Linked DNA regions of Mus musculus. The main gene of each other region encodes a partner of the protein of the gene in region 5 in a complex. Links are inferred from orthologs where the notes say so. Each region holds a gene or a part of one and is shown on either strand. Other genes may lie near its edges. The genes, in order: Taf11, Taf7, Taf4, Taf5, Taf8, Taf13 and Taf10.

Region 1 (4,249 bases), about 20 Mb from region 5:
GGGGAGCCTCGGTGTGCGGAGCCGAGCCTGGCGCAGGCGCGGTCTACGCCTAGCGGACCCGCCCATTCGCCAGGTGGCGGAGATCGGAGGCGGCACGCCTGCAGGAGCTTCCCGAACTGCTCGCCTTCCCAAAGGTTTGGGACCTCATGGCACTGGAAATGCGGTCATTGTTCCTGGCACCGTAGAAACAAAAGAAAAGGGGGTAACGCGTACCTCTGTTTTCAACTCCATTCAAAACGCATAGATTCAATACGGGATAGGCGCGGAGATCTAGAACCAGACTTGAAAAATCCCTCCCTCTGGTGCCTCCTGGAGGGAAGACCTGAGAGTTTTACTTCTGCAGTTAGACTGGCATTGTGGCAACTGCCATTTGTCCCAGCAGTCGAGAAGCAGAAGCCGCTGGCTGCATCGCTGTGAGTTTAAGGTCAGCCTGATCTACAAAGCAAGTTACGGGCTAGCCAAGGCTACATAGTGAGACCCTCTCTCCAGAAAAAAAAAGGTGGGGGGGGGGGAGGGAGTACGGGGGTGGCTGGAGAGGTGGTTCCCTGTTAAGAGCACTGGTTGCTCTGCCAGAGAATCTAGGTTTGATTCCCATCACTTGTGGCGCCTCACAGCAGTCTGTAACTCCAGCTCCAGCGGATGTAACACCTTTTGCTGGCCTCCCAGGGTACCACGAACGCATGTGGAGCTCAGACTTACATGCAAAACACCCATACACATGAAAAAAAAATGTAAGAACTCTTAACAGACACTATCCTCGCACTCCATCCTACTAACTCTTCAGAAAAAGTCAGAAGAGACCTTCTTTCTCTTAGTTGTCATGAGAGACATTTTAAAAGTCAGATTTGGGGAACCATTTCCAATTTTTAATATTGGTGGACTAAGGAGGGAAATGTAATTGGGAAAGGATGACTTTTTTTTTTTTTTCTGTTTTTCCCTCACAACACTAGCCTGTTCTGACGCGAGGCAGGTGGCCAATATTTGAAGTGTTAAATGAAACCATTGGATACTTTCTGTTGGCGTTAGAGATGCTTGCGAAACAGAAGGGAAACTTCCCTGGTGGACACAAGCCGGTGGTCTTAGTTCTTTGGGAAATCCGAGGTTAGGTCGCTGCCGGAAGCTGCTCAGTCCACGGCAACAACAAGCAGCGGGACCGAGTTCTCTCCCTGTTCCCCGACTTTGGGCTGAAGGAGTAAAGTTAAAGAAGGGTTAATTGGCATTACATTCCCAGGAAGGAGAAGAAAAAGAAGGAAAAAGAAGTCTCTCGGGAAACGAATTACGCTCTTTCAAAAACGCTTCTGCCCTGAAGCGGAGGATCTAGACTTCTACATTTCTTTCACATTAAAACAAATTCCGTTTATATGAATCCCCTGGGCAACCAACGCGCTTCTGGAAGTGACCCCTCCCAGGATCCGTGGGCGTGACGTCATCGCGGCGCGACGACGAGCCCTCAGCTCCAGCTCCGCTCCACAGCTCCTTCTCCCGGCGGTGCTGCCATCGCCTCTGACCCCCTGCTCTCGCGATGGACAACCTCGGGGAGTCGCCCACAGACAAAGGCGGGGAGCCAGGGGAGTCAGAGGAGACGAGGGCTACTCCTGGGGCTTTGGTGGCAGCCGACACTGAGGGAATCCCGGAGGAAACCGACAGGGATGGAGACGCGGACTTGAAAGAAGCCGCGGCGGAGGAAAGCGAGGTAGGTGGAAGTTGGTGGATAACGCTGCAGGACTACCCGGGTGCGCTCCTGACTGCTTTCTTCCAAAGCCAGGGAACTAGAATTCCCCCACGACTGTTTGTGAGTCTGCAACCTTGAGGGGCAGGAGAGGGAACGGGAAGGTGTAGGTGCTGTTAGAGCCCTATTCAGGCCTGCTTGTACTCCAGCTCCTTTTGGGGGAAGGCTGAGGAGGAAGGTGGAGGAGACAAGAAGATAAAAGACGAGGAGAAAATGGTTAAGGACAAATAAATTTGAAAATCTGAAGCACAAAGGTTAGAAACACGCGTAGATCAATAGTGGAAAGTAAGTTAGAAAGGCTGTCAGATAGATAATGCCTTCTCTCCCCCTCTCCATATTTCTGTATGAGTTTAAATATGAATTCCTTCCTTCCTTTCTCTCTTTCTCTCTCTCCCTCTCTTTCTTTCTTCTCCTCCTCCTCCTTCTTCTTTCTCCTCCTCCTTCTCCTTCTCTTCTTCCCCTTCTTCCTCTTCTTCCTCCTCCTCCTTCGAGACAGGGTAGCCCTGGCTAACCTGGAACTCAGGTTCTATAGACCACACTGGCTTCGAATTCAGAGATCCCCTTGCCTCTGACTTCCAAGTGTTAGTATCAAAGGCATGTGCCACCACTTCCCGACATACCTTTCATTTTAAAGGAACCATTAAATCTCATTAATGAGTTTTGATGTATTACGATTTTATAGTAAGTTGGCTAGGACAGAGTTTGGATCACTCTTGTGAATAAAACGGTTAAGTGTTTATGTGAGGAGAAATGTAAATAGTAAACATCTTGAAGACGTTTTTAGCTTAGGGCAGGCGAAATTGTTCAGCAGGTCAGGGTGCTTGATCCCCAGAACCCACGTTAAGGTAGAAGCGGACTATCTGCACAAAGTTGTCCACTTACAAACCCACACACATGAATGTCCGTAGTAACTGAAAAATTGTGGGTTTTTAAGAATATTTTTTATATGAATGTTTTGCCTGTGTATTTTTGTTTGCCGTGTAATGTGCCTGGCACATTCCCTGTAAAAGTCAGAAGAAGGCATTAGATCCCCTGAAACTAGAGTTGCTAATGACTGCGAGCTGAAATGTGGGTGTTGGTAAATGGAACCTAGATACTCTGCAAGAACAGCCAATGCTCTTAACCTCTGAGCTTTCTGCAGTTTTTAGTTTAAACTCAATATAATGGTACAAGTCTATAATTTCCACAAGCTGAAAATCCAAAATGAGACTTTGTCTTAAATTACAAAAGGAAAAAAAAAAAAGCTTCCGAACTGGGCATGGTGGTGCACAGCTTTAAGCCTAGCATTCTGGAGGCAGAGGCAGGTGGACCTCTTGAGTACAAGGCAGCCTGGACTACTACAGAGAGAGTTCAAGGATAGCCAGGGCTATGTATAGAAACTCTGTCTCAAATTATTTAAAAAAATAAAATAAATAAAATTTGTATTCTAGTATTGGGAAAGATCTCGTGATCCAGTAGAGAAAGGATCAGAAGAACAGAGCTCTGTTCAGTGTGGAGCTCCCAAGACACACATGGAAGGGACTGTACTGACATCTATGGAGTGAGGTCAGAAGGGTGGGCCCGAGGGAGAGTGGCTGTTTGGATCCTTGGCATTTTCCTCGTAATGTGTAAACAGATGCAGGACCTCTGTATGATCATGGCTAGGCTGGGAAATGGATTATTCATTTTCTTTTTTGTTTTTTGTTTGTTTGTTTGGTTGGTTGGTTTTTCAAGATAGGGTTTCTCTGTGTAGTCCTGGCTGTCCTGAAACTCACTTTGTAGACCAGGCTGGCCTCGAACTCAGAAATCCACCTGCCTCTACCTCCCAAGTGCTGGGATTAAAGGCATGCGCCACCACCACCCAGCGGATTATTTATTTTCTTTCCCAGCTGGAGTATAATCTTCCTTGGAGAGATGGATTGCCTCTTATGCAGATGGTATAGGCAGTGCCTAGAACTAGATAGCTACTGCGTAGACAGAGTTGCTGGGCTGGAAAGAGGAGGGTGTTTGCTGGCCTTTCCCAAACCTGAGAAGTGTGCCGAGTACATAATAAGAGTTTCTGTCCATCTCTCCAGCTCAAGAGTCAGGATGTCTCAGATGTAACAGCAGCCGAGAGGGAAAACTCGTCCTTACTTACTCCTGCAGCCAAAAAGCTGAAACTAGACATTAAGGACAAGAAGGAGAAGAAGCAGAAGGTGGACGAAGATGAGATTCAGAAGATGCAGTGAGTCACAGAGGTCCCCAGTCCAGGCTCTAACTCCACTCTGTACATTCATGCTTACTGGCTTTTTTGTGTGCTTTTGAGGTAAGGGCTCATGAGACTTAAGCCCTTAGCTCAAAGGTTTCAACTCCTGATCTTCCTGCCTCAGCCTACTTAGTACTGAGATCATAGGCATGAGCTGCTATGCCTGGATATAGTTTCAGGCCAGCAAGATGCCAAGGAAAGGTGCTCACCACTGCTCGCCACCGAACCTAATGACCAGGGTTTAATCCTGGGAAACCGCGTGGTAGAAGAAGGAATGAGGGCCTGGAAACTGGCCT
Region 2 (4,262 bases), on a different chromosome or scaffold from region 5:
CACTACTGACTCCATGATGAAAGTACCATTCATCACATAGACAGTGTGATGGGTATTCCTGCCTGTCAAGGTGACTATATCTGGAATGAACCACAATCCAGAAATGGAGGGCACACCAATGATTCAGGTCTTGAGGCTGGAATCTACATGAAGATCTTGAGGCATAGTGGCCATAAAAAGCTTAGGTCCATGCAAGGTAGTATACACCTTTAATCCCAGGAGACTGAGGCAAGCAGATCTCTTATTTCAAAGCCAGATTTGGACAAATCAGGTTCCAGATCCATGAGTGGTGGTCCACACCTTTAATCTGGGCAGAACACTCTGCTGCAGGACATTGGAAGAAGGAAGACTCACTCTTTGCCTGCTTGCACTTATTTGCCAGCACATCTGCTGCTACCTACGTCTTCAGGATACAGAAGACCAGGTGAAACAAAGTAGCCTCTTGGGACTTCCCATTTAGAGCTGCCCATTGTTGGGTGGCTGGACTACAGACTGCAAATCATTACAATAAATTCCCTTAATATATAGGCATTCCACAAGTTCTGTGACCCTAGAGAACCCTAACTAATACAGACAGTATCAATGAGCAAAATAAATAATAAAGACCTAATTTATCAAACTTCATAGTTCTGGGAAAGTCTCTAAATGTACCAGCCTTGCTTTTTGGCTTCTGTAGGTCAGTCTCTAGCTTATGGTTCTTGTAATAAAAGTATGCCAATGCAGGACATTTGTTTGTGCTTAAAAGCTCACCATGACAAAGTCTCAGGGCCAACTGGGATCCAGAACACCCAGTGTAGTCACTGGCTAGTTAATATTTGTTGGCTTAAACCTGTGTCTGAACAGCGTTCTTTGGTGGACATTCCACAACAAAATCAGACCGTTTGTGTTTCAGACAATTCTGTTCTAAATGAACCTGCGTCATCATAAAAACATTTGTTTACAGTTATAGCTATCTGACATATTACCAAAATATCGTATCATACATATCACACCTGGTCCTCTGGATCCAAAAACACAAATGAAGCCAAAGGCTTAGTTCCTTTCAAGGCAATAAGCATGATTTTTCGCGTTAGAGAGTGAACAGCAATACTGTATCATTTCACTGTTTGGGCCACTTTTACTTTGTGTTGTTTCCAATGTTTTAGCGGAGGCCGACTGGGTACGCCCTGGGAAGTAAAGATGCTTTCTGCAGGGACGACCTTTATCTCTGGTAATCACTCTAGAAACTGTCCCGACCCGCGACTTCGTAAAGTGCTGTCTTACGGGGTAAGTTTATGTTTTACTTTTTTGGAATCTCCATCTTGCATTTCCAAAGCAAAGCTTTTCTGGAAACAGCCTATACAGGGCAAGTTCTCACGAGAAGACGTAGTCACGGAACGACGTAATTACGAAGTGCGCCTGCGCGCGCCGCTAGTACTTCCGGAAGAGCGGCGGCCAGCCCCTCCGTGTCTGCTTCCGGTCTGTGACGTAGCGCCGCGTCTGCTTCCGCTCTGACGGAGCACTTTCGTTTTCTTCAGTGAGAGGAGACGTGGGAAAGTTGTCTCCGGTGTTCGGTTCTCTGAGAGGGAGCTTTCGCGCCGCGGGTCCTTAGCCGTCTCATTGTTAGCGCATAGGTCGCCCTGCCGGGCGGCCGAGAACGCCAAGAAACCGGAAGGCGGACGCACCGCTCCCTGCTGCTTTGCTCAAGCCGCGAAAAGCTAAGTTCACAGTCGCTGGTGAACTGTAAGTACCGGAGTCGAAGAGTTCGTTCACTCCCTTTACTTATTCTTTTTCTTTAATACTTTTATTTTATATCTTATTGGAGAGAATCTGTGGATCGGGGTTGTCTGCCAGACTAGACTGACGGTCTGTGCCTAAAACCCCTCAGTCGCTGCCGTTTCTTTTGCTGTTCAGGTTATCAGCAGCGTCTTTTAGAGGCTCTAATATGATACTGCATCTAGCAGACGAGTGAGTTTAACAGGGACAGTGCCAAAGTTTAAAAGTTTAAAGACTAGACTTGGGACTTAATTAAAAAATTAAGACAAAATAGGCACTAGCTTGCGTTCCACTTTTGTTGCTGTTTTCCTTGGAACTTGGTAATTACGAATTTAAAATTCTACTTAATGACATTGCCCCCCCCCTTTAATTGTTGTAGGAGCTCACAAGGAATTAAAGATGAGTAAGAACAAAGACGATGCGCCTCATGAGCTAGAGAGCCAGTTTATCTTACGACTGCCCCCAGAATATGCCGCTACGGTGAGGAGGGCAGTGCAGTCTGGGCATGTCAACCTGAAAGACAAACTGAGCATTGAGTTACACCCTGATGGGCGTCACGGCATTGTCAGAGTGGATCGAGTGCCCTTGGCTGCAAAATTGGTCGATTTGCCTTGTGTTACGGAAAGCTTGAAAACCATCGATAAGAAAACCTTTTACAAGACAGCTGATATCTCTCAGATGCTTGTAGCCACAGTAGATGGTGACCTATACCCTCCTGTGGAGGAGGCAGCTGCCACTGCTGATCCCAAAGCAAACAAGAAAAAAGATAAGGACAAAGAGAAAAAGTTTGTTTGGAACCATGGAATTACTCTACCTCTAAAAAATGTCAGAAAGAGACGGTTCCGGAAGACAGCAAAGAAGAAGTACATTGAATCTCCGGATGTGGAAAAAGAAGTCAAGCGTCTGCTGAGTACAGATGCAGAAGCTGTCAGTACTCGTTGGGAGATAATTGCTGAAGATGAAACAAAGGAGACAGAAAATCAAGGCCTGGACATCTCTTCTCCAGGAATGTCTGGCCACAGGCAAGGCCATGACTCACTAGAGCATGATGAGCTTCGAGAGATATTCAATGACCTCAGCAGCAGCAGTGAAGATGAAGAAGACGTAAACATCCTTGACACTGAGGAAGATCTGGAGAGACAGCTACAAGACAAGCTAAATGAATCCGACGAGCAACACCAAGAAAATGAAGGAACCAATCAGTTGGTTATGGGAATTCAGAAGCAGATAGATAACATGAAAGGCAAGCTCCAAGAAACCCAAGACAGGGCAAAGCGCCAGGAAGATCTCATTATGAAGGTAGAAAACCTGGCTCTCAAGAACAGGTTTCAGGCAGTTCTGGATGAGCTCAAACAAAAAGAAGACCGCGAAAAGGAGCAGCTTAGCTCTTTGCAGGAAGAGCTGGAATCACTTCTGGAGAAGTGAGCTTGTTGACTTTAGTCCTTAGACTAGTCAGCTCAAGAAAAAATTATTTTCAGAGTAAGGTCTTGAAATACTTTTTTTTTCTTTGAAATGTTCTTATTCCCTGAGTTTTGTTGAAAATTTTTTGATTGTTTTTCAGAACTATGGTGGTGGGTTTTCATTCTTAAGAAAATAGGATTACATAGACAGGTTTGTTGTAGGGAAGATATAAGAAAGATGAGTGAAATGAAAACACTTGAACTTTTAATCACAGGACTTTATTACAATTTGTTTCCTAAAAGTTTCTAGTCCTTTTTTTTTTTTTTTTTGGTGCTAAGATCAGTAATAAGCTAGCCTACAGGCAGTGAAGTTAATTTCTTTTAAAAGAAATATATTTTTTTTTACCTCAGCAAGTTTCCATGTTACAGAAATGCAAGTTTTTCATAAAGGTTGTTTCTTATACAATAAAAGCTACTAATTTTCACTGTTTATGATGTTGTTCTATGAATACTGAAAGTTGAGGTGGTTCATGGAGTTTAATGACTGAATGGTGTAGATCAAGATAAATCCTGTTCTTTTGTTTTTAGGAAAAGGAAAGCACCAGGTAAGGAAATGGAGAAATTCATTGTTGCATTATATATTAAGGTTCAGGTCCACCCACTTCATCTGGAGGTTTATGAACACTGGGTCTAGAGCCTTCTTAAACTATCCTAGTTTTTATGGATGGATATCTGTATCTTTTTCTTAAGCACTAAGGTTATCTGTAAAATATTGGAAGCAGTTATCAGATAAACTATTCCACATGCTTAGATTAAGATTATATTTTAACTATTGCCAATTTAACTGCTACAATTATTTAATAGACTGATGTTTATTCATATTGTTTCATTAGTATTTCCCAGTATGAAAACCTGTGTCCTGGTCTGGGATTTTAAAATTTCATATACAGAGAAAAATTCTGTGTGTTTTTTTAAATACTAAAAAGCTGCCCCTAGGCAAACTAAGTATGAATTCAGAATGGAAGTCATCTGGCCCCTTTCATTGAGAACTTGCCTTCTGTATTGCTGTTGACGGCTGCCAGAGCCTCTGAAGCCCTAACTAGTCTG
Region 3 (3,500 bases), on a different chromosome or scaffold from region 5:
GTTTCCTGTATTAAAATAAAACAGGTGTAAGTTACAGGAGATTTCCCCACAGGACCCCACTGCAGTGAAATGTGTACAGGTCTGAAAAATGTAAACTCAGCATCTCAACTTCCTTCAAAACCACACTACTTCTTGCATGAGCCATAATCTTCTCTGAAGGGCAATCAGCCACTCTGAAGGCCACCAAGTCTGCGTCTCTCAACCAGCCCTTTTAAGGGAAGGCTGCATCCACCAAGACACTGCCCTTACGTCGGGACAGGGGCTGCTGCTTGCCTAAATGTGCACAAGCACACAAAGTCCCAGGCAGCTCCTGGAAATGGTTAAAAGTACTTGGCAAAGAATACAAAAAGAGAAGTTGCAAAATAGGGTCCCAGCTTCTCTAAAACTCCAGGTACATAAAGGAAAAGTAGTGAAGACAAACACAGACAGACAGATAGACAGACAGACACCCAGACCACAGGTGCTCAGCAGCTACATATATGTGGCTTCCACAGGTCTCTGTAGGGTCCTAGATCCCAAGTAGGACGCTCAGGGCCCTTTCCTACCATTCCTCAGAGGCCAGCATGTGCAGGTCACCCCATAAGGGGAAGACAGACCCAAGCTCTCACGTGGGTCCCTTCAATGCACCACTGCTCTTGGTTGGCTTGTGGGCCCCAAAATATTCTCAAGCCCCTGTATATACCAGCTCCATTTCCCCACTAATACCAATGGCTTTGCCCATAGGCGTCTCAAAGGGAGTTCTTACCGTGGCAGCTGTAGAGGTGGTGCTGGCCCCAGGGACTGTTCGTTGAGGTGTCCCTGTCTGAACAGCTGTGGCTGTTCCAAGTGAGGCTGGCTGTGCGGAGCCACCCAGAACCAGCTGAGGCTAGAAGGTCAAAACACAGGTGAATGCATCGCAACAGCAGCACAAGCCCAAAAGTAAAACAGCTTCTGAAAACGTAGGGAGCAAATGGCTCAACAAGGGCCAGGTAGGCACCCTTCCTGCAGCCATGTGAGGTGGCCAAGGGCATCCCTGGCCCCGCACCTGAGGCCCACAGAGACACATGGAGGTATGCTTGTATCTACAATAAACCTGAGGGGCTTGAACCTGTCACTGTCCAGAATCTGTCACACTGACTAACGGCTACCACAGAGACAAGCACAGAGGACTGGATACACAATGAGCTGTCATCTCAGACACTCCTCCTGAGAACCCTTTAATCTGTTCATAGAGCCCTGGCTAGAAAGCAATTGTGACCTCCCAGCACATAGCATCTGCCAGAGTCCGTACAGGCCACCAAGACAAGGGAAAGGCCTCCACTCCCCACAAGTACCTGCACTAACGAGCTCTGCTTTCCAAAAGTAAGGCCTGACGAGAAGCCACAGCATGCAGAGGCACAGGTATAAGAGCTGGGTCACAGGCACTGGCCCAGCTGTGGGAAGGTACTCCTTGACCGAACATAAAACATTTGCAACGCAAATGGGCACTTAGATGTCAACAGGCTCAGACTCTCCAAACCACTGACCCTTAGTCTCTTTCCTAAGATTTCTCTATTCTTGAATAATCACAATGAAATATTTACCGGTTTTTACATTATTACCTCTCCAATTTACAAATTTAGCTGCCCACATTTCCTCACTCCAGTTTATTAAACACTGTCCCCTCCCTTCATCTGAAAGCAGGGAGCAGTGTGACATCTCACACCCACACCAAGGAGAGCTCTAGAGCAGCTTTAGGCAAATCTTCAGCCCCCTTAGAGAAAGCCTTGGAGGATCCCAGCCACAGGTGCTTATGAGAGAGCTGTACAAGTACTAAGCTACCTCCAGGCCTCTTGGCCCCCAAGTTACCCTGCAGCTGGCAACAGATTCAGGGGTGATAATTGTCTCTGTATGATAAGCACGTATTGCCCACCAAACCAAAACATGTGAAGATAATATGCAAAAACAAACTAAGAGTTGACTCAACAAGCCAGGGACAGCAGGACTCAGACCCTTCTTGCCATCTTTCCTTCACTCCAGCTGACAGCTATGGCAAGGGACACACTCACCCTGACTGTAAACTGTCCACTAACCTCAAAGCATTTGTCACCATTAAAACGTGACACACAATTTACCAAGCACTTCAGTAGCTTCTAGAGCCTCTTCCTCCTCCTCAGAGAAGCAGACGCTGGAGTCAGGCACAGGCAGCACTACAAGTTCCCCTCAGGAAACCGCAGGTCTCCCAGACTCCAGCTTCTGAAACACACAGGCCTCTCTCCTGACTCACAGAACCGTTCTCCAAGATATTCTTGCTCTCCACAGCTACTGAAGAAAATGGAGCTGAACTCAGAAAAGTTGGAGCTGAGTTCAGAAAAGTTCAGAGAAGCCCCCGTGTGGACCGCCCTCACTCAGTTCAGGCTCCACTGGGACGAGGTGCAGCTAATCAGGAACACTTCAGCTAAGATCATGTATGAGTGAGCACGAATCCAACGTGGTTAGAGCTCAAAGCCCTGTACTGTATGACTGCTCCAAACTCAACATCAGGAGCCTTTGAGGCTCTTTGCTTCCCACCTACTCCCAAATGAGTGCCCAGAGAGTGAGCTTCCCTAACCAATGTTTGCCTCCCCAGCCAATGACATCTTCCCTACAAGTGTTTCCCTGATCAGATGTGTCTTCACCAAGTACATCTCTGCAAACATGTTATGCCCTCCCTAACCAGTCCTTTCCACCACGCCTAACATCTGCTTCAGCCTCTGCAAGGAGGAGCCCCTGGCACGGAAGCTCCCCTTGGCTTTATACGCTAGAAGCTGCACAGGTTGATCAGGTAAGGCCAGGGTCTGCAGGTAACTCCCCTGCTGCTCCCTGGAGCACTGACACTAGGAAAGCAAGGCTAGGGAGAATGCCCCTCCCCCACTCTCCCCTCCCTAGCTCATCTACAAATTTGCCACAGGAAGTTGAGAGGACACCTTGCACACACACTAGTAGCACCGTCCATGAGCATGTAATGGGGCCACAGCACAGACACAAACTCTCCTCAGCACAGACTCCCTCCTCAAAGATGCTCTGAGTCAAATATTAATGAGGTGACGTTCCTAATTACATTTTATAAAGAGCTTTTGAATGCTGCCAATGCTAAATAAGGAAAAGATGTAGCCTGCATTCAGACACAGAAAAATCACTTTCTTCATTGACCCCCTGCATCCTCAAATTCAACCTGGTACCCTAAAGCCTAGTGTTTACATCGAAGCAAAAGCATGCATTGTCAGCCATGCATCCCTACTGATGCACTAGGCTGCATCCTCTTACCTGTACCCCGGGAGATCGCTGTAGGGTTGTAGTGGGCTGTACCGTCGTCTGGGCCTGAGACACTTGCTTAATTATGGTAGTTGGGGTCACCTGCCGTGCAATAATAGGTGTTCCTGGAGCCTGGAAAATAAGTTAAAAATCATCTAAAATGAGCTACCGTAAGTAGTACCTACACCTGTGCACATGTATGTGTGCACATGCGTATACACAGACTCTTAAAAATACACCACTGCACT
Region 4 (3,500 bases), on a different chromosome or scaffold from region 5:
CTTTTTTATTAAAAACATTTCAAACATAGGAATAGAAAATAGTATGCCTTCAGTGTACTTATCACAGACTCAATGATAATCAGAACATATATTCTTATAAGCCTATACATTTTAATTACTTATGTTAAGACATATTAAATATCAATATTTTAATAATGATAAACTAAAGAACAAATACTGGTACTAAACAATGAGCACTTTCATATTTTCACTACTACCAAGGCAATTAAATAAAGCCTTCAGTCTTGGTTATAACTTATAGTTTAAATATACTTTTGTTTTTATGTCTTGGCTTGTTTTGCCCTCATTTGGGCATGGGGTCCTAGCAGACTGTCTGTAATGGGAACAGAGAGCCTTTTATGACAGCCCATCTTCCTACATGGAAAGGTGGCTATCCCAGGAGACTGAAGGAGCAAGACTGATGACAGTACTACAAAAGAAATTAGTTGGGCTGGTGAGATGGCTCAGTGGGTAAGAGCACCTGACTGCTCTTCTGAAGGTCAGGAGTTCAAATCCCAGCAACCATATGGTGGCTCACAACCATCCGTAACGAGATCTGACTCCCTCTTCTGGAGTGTCTGAGGACAGCTACAGTATACTTACATATAATAAATAAATAAATAAATAAATCTTAAAAAAAGAAATTAGTTTCTAAGCTGGGTGGTGGTGGCACATGCTTTTAGTTCCAGCACTCAAGAGGCAGAGTGAGTTCAAGACCAGCCTGGTCTACAGAGAAAGTTCCAGTACAGCCAGGACTATTATGCAGAAAAACCCTGTCTCTTTAATTAATACATATATATATTAAAATAAAGGCTTCTAGTGTAGAAATGTTATTATCAGACAAAGAAAGGGGAGGGAGTGACAGTTTGCTTTCAGTACCTTCAATTAGGAATCTGAGTATAAAGAGTGGATAATAGCTTTCAGGAGTTGTTATCCACAAGTCCTGACCTCAAGCTCTGTAGCTTGCACTGAAGCGCTGCCTTCAGTCAGCCCAACCCTGCCCCCTTGGCATCTGTAACAATGCTTTCCGGGACTTCTCCATGTTTCTCCACCTTTTCCTTTTCTGTATCCTATACTTGTTAATGTTGGAGCTCTTCAAGCCAATGTATGGCTCTAGGTGCTCCTCTCCTCTCAGCTGTTATATAGGGGAACGGGATTACATTAGACTGGACTGTTGGCAGACCTGTCTTGGAAGTACTGGGGATTTTTGGGGGTTTTTACCTTTTTTTTTTCTTTTTTTTGGTTTGAGGTTGAGGTTTGTTTGTTTGTTCGTTTGTTTTTGTTTTGTTTTGAAGACAAGGTTTCTCTCTGTGGAACTCAAGCTGTAGACCAGGCTGACCTCACTCAGAGACCCACCTGCCTCTGCCTCCTAAGTGCCGGGATCAGAGTTGTGCACCACCATGCTACATGCGCTTAGTGGTTCTTAGTGGATTCTTAAATTACTTAAAAGTTCACTTGAACTGGAACTACAGACTAGTACCTCTACTTGACACATCACATCCTCCTCCGGGGATTTCTGTCAGGAAGTCGTCCTTCTCCAGAGGACACCCCAGAAATCTGCATTGGCAATGGTGTCTCACCTCAATGTCCATCCCTGCACTGTGGGGTCAGTCTGCCTTTCACTTCACCAGCAGACTGTTTCTCAACAGCGGTATTACTGATATATTGGGCAAGACAATTCTCTGCTAAGTAGGACTATCTATACATCCCAGAATAGTTACTATTCTTCCCTCCTCCCCAACAGGTATTTATGACAAACAAACATGCCTCAACATATTTCTAGGTGTCTATGGGAAAGAGGACTGCCACCACCATTAAGAAGCACTTCACTCTAGTCATCCAATAGTCCTGTCCCTCACCGTGTGTTTGCCTCTGCAAAAAAAAAGCCTTTTAAAACGCATACTCTGGGGTGGGCGGGGGGCGGGGAGGTAGAGACCATGCCTATAACCCTAGCACTCAGAAGGGAGAAACCAACAGATCTCTGCAAGTTTGAGGTCAGCCTGGTCTACACAGTAAGTTCCAGGCTAGGCAGGACTACACACTAAGATCCTGTTTTAGGAAAAGGACAAAAGGGGTTGGGGATTTAGCTCAGTGGTAGAGTGCTTGCCTAGCAAGCACAAGGCCCTGGGTTTGGTCCTCAGCTCTTGGGGGGGGGGGGGGGGGGAGGGAAAAGGACAAAAAAGACTGCAATTAATGAATGATCCTCTAATGACATCTATAGCAGAGATGCCTCACTGTGCCCAAATGCTCATTTTAACTCCCTTCCTCCGTAACAAAACACCTGACTATTAGCTGGGGACAGACATCTCGGGGAAGATCGCAGGAAAGATGGCATTTCCTACATTTGTCGCTAGGGATGGTCACTGATAAAAAGTTAGAAAAAGAAGTGTGAGCATCTCCCAGGAACGTGTGCCTTTCTTGCTGACTAGAACAGCGTTTGGACTGCTGTCCAACAGAGGACCAGCTTGTGCCTGGAAGAGAAGCTCCTGACAAGAACACTGGCCGATGACTGAGGACTTAGCTATCAGCCCTAAAACTGACGTTTTACTTAAGCCTCTTGTTTGCGTTGTTAGTCATCTTCTAATCTAATCCTAACACAGTTCCTACTGCTCTCAGAATCCAGTTTTTATTCATAATCATTGAGTTTTTCAGTGACTCTCAATCAAATCTAGTCTTATCCAGTGTAAGTCCCTATTATTCCTATGACACAGATCCTCAACGCAGTGCAAGAACCTGCCTGCTGCTCCCAACTGAACGCTGTACCACAGCCCTGCACATTACTGGCCTCAGCTGCTATGGGCTTCTTTCCGTCTCTGTAGTTACAGGTATGCTCTTCTCCTCCACTGGCTAATTCCTAGCAGCCCTTCCTCAGTTCTCGTTTCAGGACTGTTTCCTCTGGAGGATCAATCCTGCCTGTGTGTCAGGTTCATGCTGCCCAAGGCACCTGTCCTTCTGATTTACATTTGTGTGGTTACAGATGTGTGTGCTTATACATACATAGATAGATAAAGACGTTAAGATTCACATACTTCTCAAAGAATGATTTTGCTTCATTTTCATGTTGATTATAAACTAGCTCCAAGTACATATGTACAAACAGAGGATAAAAGAGTTGGGATAACTCTGCTCGATGGCAGTCCAGAGAACATTCAATGAAGTGTTTCAGTCCACTGTAGTATTCTTCATACATTGTAGGGTCTCCTTGTTGGTTGTAGGCCGACAAGACAGCACTGACGTCTGGCTGGTCTTCCACAGCTACACTTGCAACTGTTTAAAAAATGAATGACAACTTTTAAGAAAATGATCTAATTGCACCAAGCAGATGAGGTTTTGCTAAGGCCCCAGGGACGACTGTTTCTCAGAATTGTCCCTGTCCTCTCTACTTCTCTTCCGCAACACAACCACGCATCTTTTCCTTTTTTAGTTTTGTATTACATTTGCTTATTTTGTGTATATGTGTGGCTGTGATGAGGCTAGCAGGCAGACAAGCCATAATAGTT
Region 5 (3,500 bases):
CCGTCATCGTAGCCATCAACGATGCTTGCAGAAGTTGGCAAGTGTCCCTCCCTGGCTCGGTGCTCCTCTGCAACTCTGCTCCCAGCTCCTGAAGCAGCGGGCCCATCCCAGCAGCCCTCCCTTCCTCTTCCCTTCCCTGTCTTTCCATCCCAACCACTGATGTTGCTCTGGCCCTTGACGGCAGTGATGGTTCGGCTCTCCTCTCTCCTTCAAGCCTCTGCTTGGTCCTCCCTGGGTGTGCTGTTATCGGAAGCAAAGGCTCCATCCTCACCGCGAACCGTTTCGTCTTGAGTTACGTGTAAGGGATGATTTCACAGGCTCTCGGGAGCAGAGGGGTTTTTTGTTTTTGCTTGTTTTGTTTGTTTTTTTTTTAAGGTTTTTCAAGGGGGGGCAGAGGTTTTATATACTGGGGTCACTGCTGTATCCCGGGCAGACACATGCTCACTGCCAACCCATGTTTACTGAGTACATGATTGCTAAGATTTCTCATAAGAGAGGAAAAGGTTAAACTTCTAGGCTGCCTGCACGAGAGCCAGTTCACACGACAGAAGAGAACAGAACAGAACAGCACTGGCTCTAAACACCTCGCTCCTTACGCTCAAGGGCGTGAGAGACACCTCACATCAGGACACAAGGGGGCAGTTTAAACTGGTCAGAGTGAGATGTGACTGGGTTATAATCCCAGCACAGAGCAGGCAGAGGCAGGACCAGGATTCTAACACGATTACATTTTGCAGGCTACCAGAATAGTAACAAGTGCCAGTAACAGTCTTTTATTGTACTTTGTAGTATGGAAGTGTGAGTCTGCAGTCTAACACAGAAGGAGGTACCAGGAGTTAGCTCCCTCTACCTCAGGCTGGCCCTGCATGTGCTCTGTCCCCTGCCTGGAAACTCCAGAGATGAGCAGGGCAGGCGTTAGTCTCTTCAGGTCTTTACCCAAATGTCACCTGTAATCCCCCACCACCTCCACAGCTCCATCTCTAGTCTCTTTAGTTCCTGAAGGCGGGGCTTTATCTGTCTTGCTCCACACTAGTTCCTCAGACCAGGACCAGGGTCTGGACCTTACAGTGCTCGTTCACCATCTGCTGAATGTGTGACTCCCCAGGAGGTGTGTCTCATGATGGAGACTGGACACACAGCCCATCATGCAAGCTTGTAACAGCCAGCCAGAGACCTGGGGAAGGCCCTGTTCAGTTCCTAGGGGCAGGGGCAGGATGTGGGACAGGCTGTTTTGGGATTGCTGTGAGGCAGGCAGAAGGGGAGGACCCACCGTGCTGATATGAAGAGCGTTGTTCTCTGTATCTGTTTGCTCCTCCTGCTCCGAGGAGTCGGTCTCTTCCATCTGCTGTATCTCCAGCTCAGAAGGAAGCAAGGCCGTGAGGTAGGGGATGGTGAACGGTCTGGCAGCGATCACTGGGAAGTGGAAGAAAGACTCGAGTCTGTCAAGTAGCCAGAGGGAGCCAGGTTTGAGTGCTGCCCAGTTGCCATGACCTTGAGCTAGGAATTTCCCTTTCCCTATGCCTCTGTAAGAGTTACTAACTCACGGGTCTGGAAGGGCTGGCTGAGGTGCTGTGGGAGGGGCTAGTTAGCACCTGCTGATCTTTGTCCCCAGTGACTGCAGAGCCAGGCACCTAACAAGCACTGAGTGGGTGCTTACTGAATAAATGTGCCAATCTCCCCACTCAGATTTACACCACACACGGTCCCCTAGAGGTAAGTGAGACAGTCAGCAAAGCCTCCTGTGACATGAAAGAAAGAACAGTGATGGGCAACTGGCTGTAGACACCACTTCCACACTTCTCTGCTGCTGAGGCCTCAGCCACCGTGAACTAACCTAAACTCACTGCAGACAACATAGGAGAGGCTTTCTGCTTGGGAATCCTCGGGTAGGAACAGGCTCTTGGGATACGGAGGAAGGAGCCATAGAGCTGAAGAATAAAGTGCACTAGAGAAAGCCACAAAGGCATGCTCATCTCTCCACACCTCACTGAGAGCAAGGAAAGACGGTGTGATTATCTCAAACAACAGGGTTCAGAGGGGTGGCTCTCACAAGGAAAAGTGCTGACATCATCCTTGAAAAGACTCTGGGTCTCGCCTGTCTTGGCCATGAAGCGGGTGAGTGCTCGCTCCACGTCTCGTCTCTGAGATGCGGCCTTCTCCCGAAGGATCTGGTAGTCAGACACTGGCTCACGGTATGTCTAGGAGAAGAACAGAGATACCAGGCTGAGCTCCCACCCCCTTCAGCTCTCCTCAGGCCCTGACCTGCTGCAGCTATGTCCTTCCGAGGACAGCAGACAACAGAGGACCATCTCAGTATACAAACATTCATTAAAAAAATGCAAGTATTTACTACATAGTTGACTGTGTCTATGCTTGGCTTCCATGGCAGCTAGCTTTAGGTGTAGGACACAGATCCTCAAAGACGGCTTGGACCCCTCAAGGAGCACTAAGAGGAACCTCGATGCCACCAGAGTAACTTGGAACCTTACAGTGTATGAGTGGTGGCCCATGTGCATCTGCATGCAGTACCATCCCCTTGTCTTAAGTCCACCCTCTCCAAACAGACGCACTGGTCCAAAAGACTTCCCTTGGAAGCACAGAATACTGGCCCTGGTGGCATATCCAGACAGGTATCAGTGAGGCCAAGGCCAGCCTGCTCTAGGAGAGGGAGGGACGCAGAGAGGGGGACGAGGGAGAGGGAGGGAAGGGAAATACAGGTTGAGGGTGAGATTCAGCAGGTTAAGGCGTTCGCTCACCACGCCTGAGCACCTGAGCTGTCAGCAGGACATGGCTCAAAGCGGAGGCAACTCCCTCACCCCCTCTGACTGCCTCCCATCCATGCAAGCCACACACTGTGCATGAGCGCCCACCCACACAGATAAAGGAAATAAGTGTAAATATTAAACAAGGAGAGAAAACCAGACTGATGCTGTAATTGTAAGCAGAACTGAGAGAGCCAAGGACAGGAGACTCTGGCATGCTAGCCCCTTGCTGAGCATCTCAGAGAGATATTCGGAATCCAGTAAGATGAGAAGGACCTCAACGTATTTTACAATGCAGTGGCAGAGAGGACCAAAACCAGCTCCTCCTGACAGAAAGGCAGGTTTTAAACTTCTAAAGATGTTTCGAGGGCTGGAGAGCTGGCTTAGGGGTTAAAAGCACTTGTTCTTACAAAGGACCCCGGTTTGATTCCCAATACCTACATGAAGGCTGGTACCATTTCTTCAGGCACCAGCACACATGTGGTGCATAGACACACATGCAGGCAAAAACCTCCTATATGGGGCTGGAGAGATGGCTCAGCAGAAGAGCACTGACTGCTCTTCCAGAGGTCCCCAGTTCGATTCCCAGCAGCCACATGGTGGCTCACAACCATCTGTAATGGGATACGATGCCCTTTCCTGTTGTGTAAAGAAGCTACAGTGGGGGGCTGGGGAGATGGCTCAGCAGGTAAGAGCACTGACTGCTCTTCCAAAGGTCCTGAGTTCAAATCTCAGCAA
Region 6 (4,083 bases), on a different chromosome or scaffold from region 5:
ACCCTGTCCAAAACAAAAAACAAAAACAAAACAAACAAACAAAAAAAACCCCAGCAAAAATAGAAGAGACATGAAGATTCTATTAAGTCAGTGGGAGAAGCCTGCGAAGATTCCAAATTTTTGTCATCACAAAAGTAGAGCAGTTGAAACTGAACTAAAGGTTTGGACAAGCAGCAGGGTGAATACCATTCCTAGAGCACTTTAGTGTAAGGGTCGTTTTCATATGTCCACATAAGGAGTAAAACCACACACAAATCACGTAACTAGCATCAGTGAGACAGAATGGGAAGTGGTCAGACTTGAACGAAACTGGAAGGTACTAGTGAGGATTTCTGTTATGGTTGTAAGATACAGCCGAAGTTGCCTTCAAACTCAATGAGGAAGACCCTGAACTCAAATTCTCCCATCCCTATCTCTCCCAAGAGCTGGGATCAAAAAAGATTTAGAGAGTTAAAGGCTGATCTTGCAGTTTCTAGAATTTTTCAATCCTACTGTACTCAGGCATTTATAAATCTCTGCCGCTGTACTTCCCAAGGCTCAGCCAAGGAGCCTGGGAGAAGGGATGGAGAGTGCAGTCTCATGGGCCTTTCAGGAATTAGTATGGGCACAACAAGTGGACACCGCTCACCCTGCGCTGCCCCAAGGGCTACCTGTCTGTTTAAGGAGCACCATGGAAGGCTAGTGCACTGTCATCTCCACAGCACACTTCACCACCTTCTTGCCCTGAGCTATGCCTTAGTCCAAAGCCTCAACTTACATCATTTGAAAGGTGGACACAAGAGGGATACAACGTTCAAAATGTCAACTGGGAGCCATGGCATATGCCTGTACATCTAGAGCCAGGGAAACAGATAGGAGAGCAGAAGTTCAAGGTTCTTGCAAGGTTCTTGCAAGTTCAAGGTTATACGCATATGCATACCAAGTTTGAAATCATGCTGGGATCTAAAAACCCTGCCTCAGCTGGGTGGTGGTGGTTCACAGCTTTAATCCCAGCACCCAGGAGGCAGAGGCAGGCAGGCACATCTCTGTGAGTTCAAGACTAGCAGATCTTGATCTATTCTAAACTCCAGAAAGAGTTCTAGGACAGCCAGGGCTACACAGAAAAACCAAGCCTCAAAAAAGGAAAAGAAAAACAAAAACAAACAAAACAAAAAAACCCTGCCTCAAGGAGGAGGGCAGAGGTGATCACATTCATTATTTTATGTCACACAGAGAGAATTAGTAGACATGAGAGAGACTTATACTGACCATGGGATGCACACCTGCAATCCCAGGACTTGAGAGGCTAAAGCAGGACTACCACCAAACCAAGGCTAGCATGGGCTAAACAGTAAGCACCAGTATAGCCTTGGCTATACAGAGCCTATCTTTAAAACAAACAAACAAACAAACAAACACCAAGAATAAAAACAGGCAACCTTATAGGCAACTCTGAGAACACTGTCCCTATAAACAAACATATGCAGAACAATATACTCTGAAAAGACATGTTCAAAAGCTTTCACCACCTGTAATAAAAACACTAGAAAGTACAACTTACATTCTTTCGAGAAAAGTCTCTTTCTCTTCCCCTGGCCACCTTCCGCTCCTCCTCCAATTTCTTCATTCTCCTCCTCAAACTAGAAATTTTAAAACACGGACATGGCAAATGATTGCAGTGCACGTGATATTCCCTCGAGTCTCCTCCTGCTCGCCCTCTTTGTGGAGTGCTGTGAATTGAACCCACGAGCTCACGATGCTAAACAGATGCTTGACCACTGAGCTACACCTCCTGCACTCTTTTCATCTTTTTTTTTAAAGGCATTTATTATTTATGTGTATTGTGTGCCTACATAAATGTGCCTGCTGTTGCCCATAGAGGCCAAACTAGGTCTAATCGCTGTAGGTTGCCAGATGTGACAGCAAATGCTCCTAAGCACTAAAGCTATCTCTCTACACTTTTTTTTTTTTTTTTTTTGAGACAAAGTGGTCTCACTATGTGCCCGTGTCTGCCTGAACTCACGGAGATCCGCTTGCCTCTGCTCCTGAGTGCTGGGATTAAAGGTGTGCGCCACCACGCCCAGTGACCCTTTTTCATTTTCGAAAGTGAGAAGCTAAAGCAAACTGCACAAAACCACGAAAATTTAGCACCAAAGGGCTCATAAGCCCTAGTCCAATTCTCAAGTCGTGCAAGAAGGCTTTTATTACGGCTGCTAACAACCTTACAACCGTGCGTGTGTAAAGTTCTAACGACCTCAGGTTCTGGGTTTGGTTTTAGCCAATTTAGTTGTCACACTGCTAAGCAAGACTACTGTAAAAACCTGGTAGTTTAAAATCTACTCTCTGCTGTCATCGGAAGCAACTGATAAAGGGCTAAGAACTTTCCTTAACTGGGCTGGACTCTACCTCACAAGAAAACCGATGCCAAAGGAGAATTTGGATCCCAAGCTTCCTGTCTTTAGTTCATCGTTTCTCCGCTATCTTCACTAGTTTTGTCAGCATCTGGGCTGCTGGTTCCGCTTTAATCAGCTTTGATCTCCTATGACCCTCTAGATGTCTTAGTGTCGGGAAGATCCAGGTCAAAGAGAGACCCTTTCTACTCTTCCTTCCCGTCTTGTCCCACGCACTGACTAAGGTAAACCAAAAAAGGAAAACACCGCGGAGCCCCCGGACTCTCGGCGGGAATCCCTAAGGCACAAGCGGGTCAGACTCTGCCTCCGCTAGTGATCCGAAAGGAGTGAGGAACCAGGCTGAGACAGGCGCTCACTCACGGTGGGGTCTTCCTCCTCATCTGCCATGCTAGCTGCTCGCCAGCCTTCTGAACCCGCCCACCGGCGGCTGGCGAGTTTTATAAGATACGTACGTCACTTCCGGCCTGGCCAGCGTTGCGCAGAGAGGCGTGCGCGTTCATTCTCCTACCCAACCCCGGCCTTGGGATTGGCTGGAAGTCAGTGACGTGCTCTTACGTGTGGAATCCTGAAGGAGGAATTAAAAATTACAAAGAAGCCAGGCGTGGTATACTACGCCGGGAAATCTCTGCACTTGGCAGGCAGAGGCAAGAGGGCTTCGAGTTCGAGATCAGCTCAAGTTTCATGAGCCCATGTCTCAGAAAACATAAGTGATAAATTTGTGCATACTTACGGAGGCTCACAAATGCCTGTAAAAATAGGATGACTTTTTGCCTCTGGGGCTGATCCACTCAAGTACACAAGCCCCATGATATTATATATAGTATCTATATTATTATATAATTATATATCTACTTTCTTTTATGTAAATAGGTGTTTTGCCGGCAAGTATGTGTACCATGTGTGTGCAGCACCAAAGAAGCCAAAATAGAGCAACCGATTTCCTGGAACTAGAGATAGACGATTGTGAACCGCTATATAGGGGCTAGGAATCAAACTCAAGTCTCTTGAAAAGCAGCCAATACTCTTAACCACGGAGCAATCTTTCCTGCCTCCGTTAATACGCAATATATATATGTAGTTTGGGTTGGAAGGTTGTTTTGCGCTTTTTTTTTTTTTTTTTTTTGGTTTTTTCAAGACAGGGTATCTCTGTGTAGCCCTGGCTATCCTGGAACTCACTCTGTAGATCAGGCCGGCCTCGTTCTCAGAAATCCGCTTGCCTCTGCCTCCCAAGTGGTGGGACTAAAGGCGTGCGCCACCACTGCCCGGCCGTTTTTTGCTTCTTCTTCTTTTTTTTTTTTTTAAATTACAAAAGATGTGCTAGAGAAATGGTTCAGTCAATAAAAGCTCTAGCGGAATAAGCCTAAGGCTCAGGTTCAATCCCTGGGACCTGTATAAAAAGTGAAAGGTGAGAAGACAGAGTCTGCAAGGTTGTCCTCTGGCTTCCATACACAATAATAAGAAAATATTTTAAAATTATGAAAGAGCTAAGTGTAGTGGCACTCGCCTTTAATCCCTGCCTTGGGAGGCAGAAGCCAGAAGATCTCTTTGAGTTAGAGGCCAGCCAGGGCTACATAGTCAAAACAAGAAAACCAAAGCTCGGCAGTGGTGGTCCATGCTTTTTGTCCCAGCACTTGGGAGGCAGAGGCAGGCGGATTTCTGAGTTCAAGGCCAGCCTGGTCTACAGAGTGAGTTC
Region 7 (3,413 bases), on a different chromosome or scaffold from region 5:
GTAAGCGCTTCCAGCAGTTTATACAGATAAATAGTAATCTTACCATTCAAGGATCAAAGGCTTTTACCCATATGATGAACTCAAATTCTGAAGCTCACCTTATTCCTTGTAATTTGCAGGTGGCACTGGAAGGCCTTCGGCCTACCATCCCACCAGGTATTTCCCCCCATGTGTGTAAGCTCATGAAGATTTGCATGAATGAAGACCCTGCAAAGCGACCCAAGTTTGACATGATTGTGCCTATCTTGGAGAAGATGCAGGACAAGTAGGACCTTCAGGTCCTTGCCCAAACTCCAGAAGTGTCAAAACATGGCTGGGGGAGTACACTTCTCCAAAGTTAAAGACCTCTGGTTGCCTCCCCTGTCTCTAATCATGGTACTACCCCAGTTATGGGACTTGTTCCCTGCTCCCATCCCTACCACTGTAGCCCCAAAAGGGGCTGGGCTCAGAGCTTTGTCACTTGCCACATGATGTCTCCCAACATGGGAGGGATCAGCCCCGCCTGTCACAATAAAGTTTATTATGAAAACAGGCTCGTGTGGGGACAGAGGGAAAGACAAATACATCTGGGTTGCGTGGCTCAGGTGAAGTAGTGCGGCTTCTTCACATTGATGCCATACTCGCTGAGGGCAGGGGTCAAGTCCTCCATGGTTAGGGTGTACTTGCGATCCTGGGGGAAAGAGGGAAGACCACCAGCTGAGCACAAGTGCAGACTCCAATCCTTTGTGGGTGACCCTGAGCAGGCCCAATACCTCCCCTAGGATTCTGCTTCCCCAAAAGGCTTTCAGGATAAGTTAGGCCTGTACTGCAGTGGAAGGTGAGCCTCTCACACCTTGCTCTTGCTCCGGGAGCTGCCAGAGGCTGTGCCCTTCATTTTGCAGTGCTGTAGGGCATCATTGGCAATATCTGAGATGAATTTCTGGGCAGCTAGTGAGATGAGCCGAATTCTAGAGAGGAAGAGGGTGGTAGTAATGAGAATATTTAGCAAACTCCACCTAGCACTCAACAGTCTAACCTGCTCCGAGTTTACTCACATGCGTGGGTCTGAAGCTTCAAAGCCAGCGCGGTTCAGGTAGTAACCAGTCACTGCATCTGGGATCTGAAAAATCAAATTAAACAGCCATCAGTGTTAGATCTGCCTATTGATGCGCTGGCTGGGACGGAGGACTAAAGAGATAGCTTCATGCCAGGCAGTGGTGGCACACGCCTTTAATCCCAGCACCTGGGAGGCAGAGGCAGGCGGATTTCTGAGTTCAAAGCCAGCCTGGTCTACAAAGTGAGTTCCAGGACAGCCAGGGCTACACAGAGAAACCCTGTCGCGAAAAAACAAACAACAAAAGAGATGGCTTCATAGCAGAGAAAGCTTGAAAGAACGAAGGTGTGGTTCAAAGGCATTGACAGCGAGCCAGGTGGCCTTGTTCAGGTGGGAAGCGCACCGTAGGTGTGTAATCCTCCAACTGCATCAAGAAGTCCACTAGAGGTGTGCTGGACACTACGGGCTTCACTTCTCCGTTGGCCGCGCTCGGTAGGGCGTAAACCCCGTTAGACATTGCCCCCTCCGGGGGAGCCGCGCCGCCCGCTGCCACCGAAGCTGAAGGAGAATCAACAGCACAGGTGAGAGGCGCAGGGTTCCCCTGCCCCGGCACCTAGTCCGAGATGCCCTCCTCCCTCACCCGGCCCGGCCCTCCCTCACCTGGCCCGCGCCGCTCTGCCGGCTCCCCTGCCCGTGCCGCCACGGGGCCCGTGCCCGCAGTGGCGACTCCAGCCACGGGGCCCCCTGCTGTCCCCGCGGGGCTGGCCTTGCTCTCCGCGGCCGTGCTAGTGGGCAGCGCAGCGGGAGCCGACACCAGGGGTGCCGGACCCGCGACCGAGGCGGCACAGGCGGTCGCCGCCTCGGGGTCCGCGCCGGAGCCGCTGCAGCTCATGGGGCCGGTGGGAAAGGCGGCGAACAGAGCCGCTTCCGCTTCCGCTCGCCCAGGCGCACGCTGCGTGACGTTACAGTTCCCGCCCACCACTCTAAGCTGCCGCGGGCGACCTTAGGTTGGCTGTTAGTGGATGAGGTGTAGACTTCAAGGCGGAGGCGAGCTGTGTGAGATGTGGCTGCCACCCTGCGGTTCCACCCCGGCCCGGGTGGGGCCGCAGAGCATCCAGGACTGAATACTTTATCTGGGTTCGTTCAACGACCTGGCTTGGGGACTCATCTGCCAGACACTTCATTACCAGTCTCCTGACGGTCTTCATGCATTCTTTGTAGTTCCCTTTCATGGTCTTTTAAGGGTTGCAGTGGATTTGATGTGTGTCCCTCCCACCCACAACGGGCTTAGGAGAGTACCTCTGTAAATGTAGAGATGGGTGTTTTACCCTGAAGAAATAGCATGCCAAAGTCTTGTGTGAAACACATTTACAATACAACAGACTTTTTTTTTAAACAGTCATTTATTTAATTTCTATTTGGGCTGGGACCTAGGAATACAAAGTTAAGAATCAGATTCTAGTTCACTAGCACCGACTGTCTGGAAAAGGAAGGCAAACAAACTGACAATTTCAATACTGTATGATTGTTTCCCAGCTACATGTAGGTGCAGTGCAAAGAAGAAAGGGAAACTAACATTCATTGCTTAATTCCAAGTGTGAGACATTAGCAATGTTTATTTCCCGATTTTGAAGGCAAGTTTCAATGTCTCTGACTTTTACCCAGTAATCTTTGAAGGGTTTGCACAAATACATAGACTGCTTGGTTTGGAAGATGAGGGGCTTCGGAAGCCTTTCCTCTCCCCAAGTGCTTCCTGCAGTTTAGAAGAAAAAAGAACATGGGCTCAAAGATAATGCAGTATTTTGTGCATGTGTGTGTGTGCACATATGTGTATTTTTGAGACATGGTCTGACTATGTAGGCCTGGCTTGTCTGGAACTCTTTATATAGACCAGGATGGCCTCAAACTCAGAGACTTGCCTGGCCTCTGTCTCCTGAGTGCTGGGATTAAAGGTGTGCATCACCACACTAGCCGATAAAGATATACTTGAGAGGCAGTCAAGAAAACTTTTTGAAGTTAGTAAGGAGGTGAAAAAGATGAGAGTTAAGAGTTATAGGTTTCTGGCTTGTTTGAAAGAGGCATTATATCATAGATTAAGAGATGAAATAGTTTAGGTCTGGGCTGGAGGGAGATGAAGTAACGAGGTATCTCACATTTGAGGTATCACTCACTGTGGGTATAGATGTCAGTGATCTGTCAAGGGATGATAATAAAATGATAAGAGCAAGAAACTAAGAATGGAACAATGAACACAGCATCCCTGGAGTCAGCAGAAAAGGGGGCTGATTAGTGTGGTCAGAGGGGGGTCACTGAGGAAAAAGGATAAATGGGAAACTGATGGAAAGAACAAACACCCAGGTTCACAGAAGCTAGATGTTTG

The links.
Region 1: Taf8 (region 5) and Taf11 share a complex: the UniProt entries of both Homo sapiens proteins name them as parts of the TFIID basal transcription factor complex. The link is inferred for Mus musculus from reciprocal best matches to the Homo sapiens genes TAF8 and TAF11.
Region 2: Taf8 (region 5) and Taf7 share a complex: the UniProt entries of both Homo sapiens proteins name them as parts of the TFIID basal transcription factor complex. The link is inferred for Mus musculus from reciprocal best matches to the Homo sapiens genes TAF8 and TAF7.
Region 3: Taf8 (region 5) and Taf4 share a complex: the UniProt entries of both Homo sapiens proteins name them as parts of the TFIID basal transcription factor complex. The link is inferred for Mus musculus from reciprocal best matches to the Homo sapiens genes TAF8 and TAF4.
Region 4: Taf8 (region 5) and Taf5 share a complex: the UniProt entries of both Homo sapiens proteins name them as parts of the TFIID basal transcription factor complex. The link is inferred for Mus musculus from reciprocal best matches to the Homo sapiens genes TAF8 and TAF5.
Region 6: Taf8 (region 5) and Taf13 share a complex: the UniProt entries of both Homo sapiens proteins name them as parts of the TFIID basal transcription factor complex. The link is inferred for Mus musculus from reciprocal best matches to the Homo sapiens genes TAF8 and TAF13.
Region 7: the proteins of Taf8 (region 5) and Taf10 are in contact, whole or in part, in a crystal structure (PDB 4WV4), measured with the Homo sapiens proteins. The link is inferred for Mus musculus from reciprocal best matches to the Homo sapiens genes TAF8 and TAF10. Residues at the interface, in NP_612639.2 of Homo sapiens: Arg33, Thr36, Leu37, Val40, Ser43, Leu44, Leu45, Ala48, Gly49, Phe50, Glu51, Ser52, Ala53, Glu54, Ala56, Ser57, Thr60, Leu61, Met64, Leu65, Gln66, Tyr68, Ile69, Ser70, Ile72, Gly73, Arg74, Ala76, Lys77, Cys80; in NP_006275.1 of Homo sapiens: Pro115, Leu116, Phe119, Leu120, Leu123, Tyr126, Thr127, Thr129, Ile130, Pro131, Val134, Thr135, Tyr137, Tyr138, Leu139, Ala142, Gly143, Phe144, Glu145, Ser147, Asp148, Arg150, Ile151, Leu154, Ile155, Leu157, Ala158, Ala159, Gln160, Lys161.

The regions. Positions count from the first base shown.
Region 1 is NC_000083.6:27,904,945-27,909,193, reverse strand, and holds the start of Taf11 (transcription initiation factor TFIID subunit 11), read left to right. Parts: upstream 1-1,449; 5' UTR 1,450-1,522; coding exon 1,523-1,693; intron 1,694-3,783; coding exon 3,784-3,932; exon of another isoform or gene 3,933-4,013; intron 4,014-4,249. UniProt on the Homo sapiens protein: The TFIID basal transcription factor complex plays a major role in the initiation of RNA polymerase II (Pol II)-dependent transcription.
Region 2 is NC_000084.6:37,641,405-37,645,666, reverse strand, and holds the start of Taf7 (transcription initiation factor TFIID subunit 7), read left to right. Parts: upstream 1-1,462; 5' UTR 1,463-1,722; intron 1,723-2,134; 5' UTR 2,135-2,154; coding exon 2,155-3,180; 3' UTR 3,181-4,262. UniProt on the Homo sapiens protein: The TFIID basal transcription factor complex plays a major role in the initiation of RNA polymerase II (Pol II)-dependent transcription.
Region 3 is NC_000068.7:179,935,147-179,938,646, forward strand, and holds part of Taf4 (transcription initiation factor TFIID subunit 4), read right to left. Parts: intron 3,385-3,500; coding exon 3,265-3,384; intron 866-3,264; coding exon 746-865; intron 6-745; coding exon 1-5. UniProt on the Homo sapiens protein: The TFIID basal transcription factor complex plays a major role in the initiation of RNA polymerase II (Pol II)-dependent transcription.
Region 4 is NC_000085.6:47,070,748-47,074,247, reverse strand, and holds part of Taf5 (transcription initiation factor TFIID subunit 5), read right to left. Parts: intron 3,268-3,500; coding exon 3,030-3,267; intron 1-3,029. UniProt on the Homo sapiens protein: The TFIID basal transcription factor complex plays a major role in the initiation of RNA polymerase II (Pol II)-dependent transcription.
Region 5 is NC_000083.6:47,492,292-47,495,791, forward strand, and holds part of Taf8 (transcription initiation factor TFIID subunit 8), read right to left. Parts: intron 2,199-3,500; coding exon 2,051-2,198; intron 1,414-2,050; coding exon 1,271-1,413; exon of another isoform or gene 1-1,270. UniProt on the Homo sapiens protein: The TFIID basal transcription factor complex plays a major role in the initiation of RNA polymerase II (Pol II)-dependent transcription.
Region 6 is NC_000069.6:108,570,416-108,574,498, reverse strand, and holds the start of Taf13 (transcription initiation factor TFIID subunit 13), read right to left. Parts: upstream 2,801-4,083; 5' UTR 2,778-2,800; coding exon 2,751-2,777; intron 1,620-2,750; coding exon 1,541-1,619; intron 1-1,540. UniProt on the Homo sapiens protein: The TFIID basal transcription factor complex plays a major role in the initiation of RNA polymerase II (Pol II)-dependent transcription.
Region 7 is NC_000073.6:105,742,394-105,745,806, forward strand, and holds Taf10 (transcription initiation factor TFIID subunit 10), read right to left. Parts: upstream 1,946-3,413; 5' UTR 1,926-1,945; coding exon 1,694-1,925; intron 1,592-1,693; coding exon 1,437-1,591; intron 1,100-1,436; coding exon 1,035-1,099; intron 948-1,034; coding exon 833-947; intron 671-832; coding exon 581-670; 3' UTR 501-580; downstream 1-500. Other genes in the region: Ilk (integrin-linked protein kinase), read left to right, coding at 120-269. UniProt on the Homo sapiens protein: The TFIID basal transcription factor complex plays a major role in the initiation of RNA polymerase II (Pol II)-dependent transcription.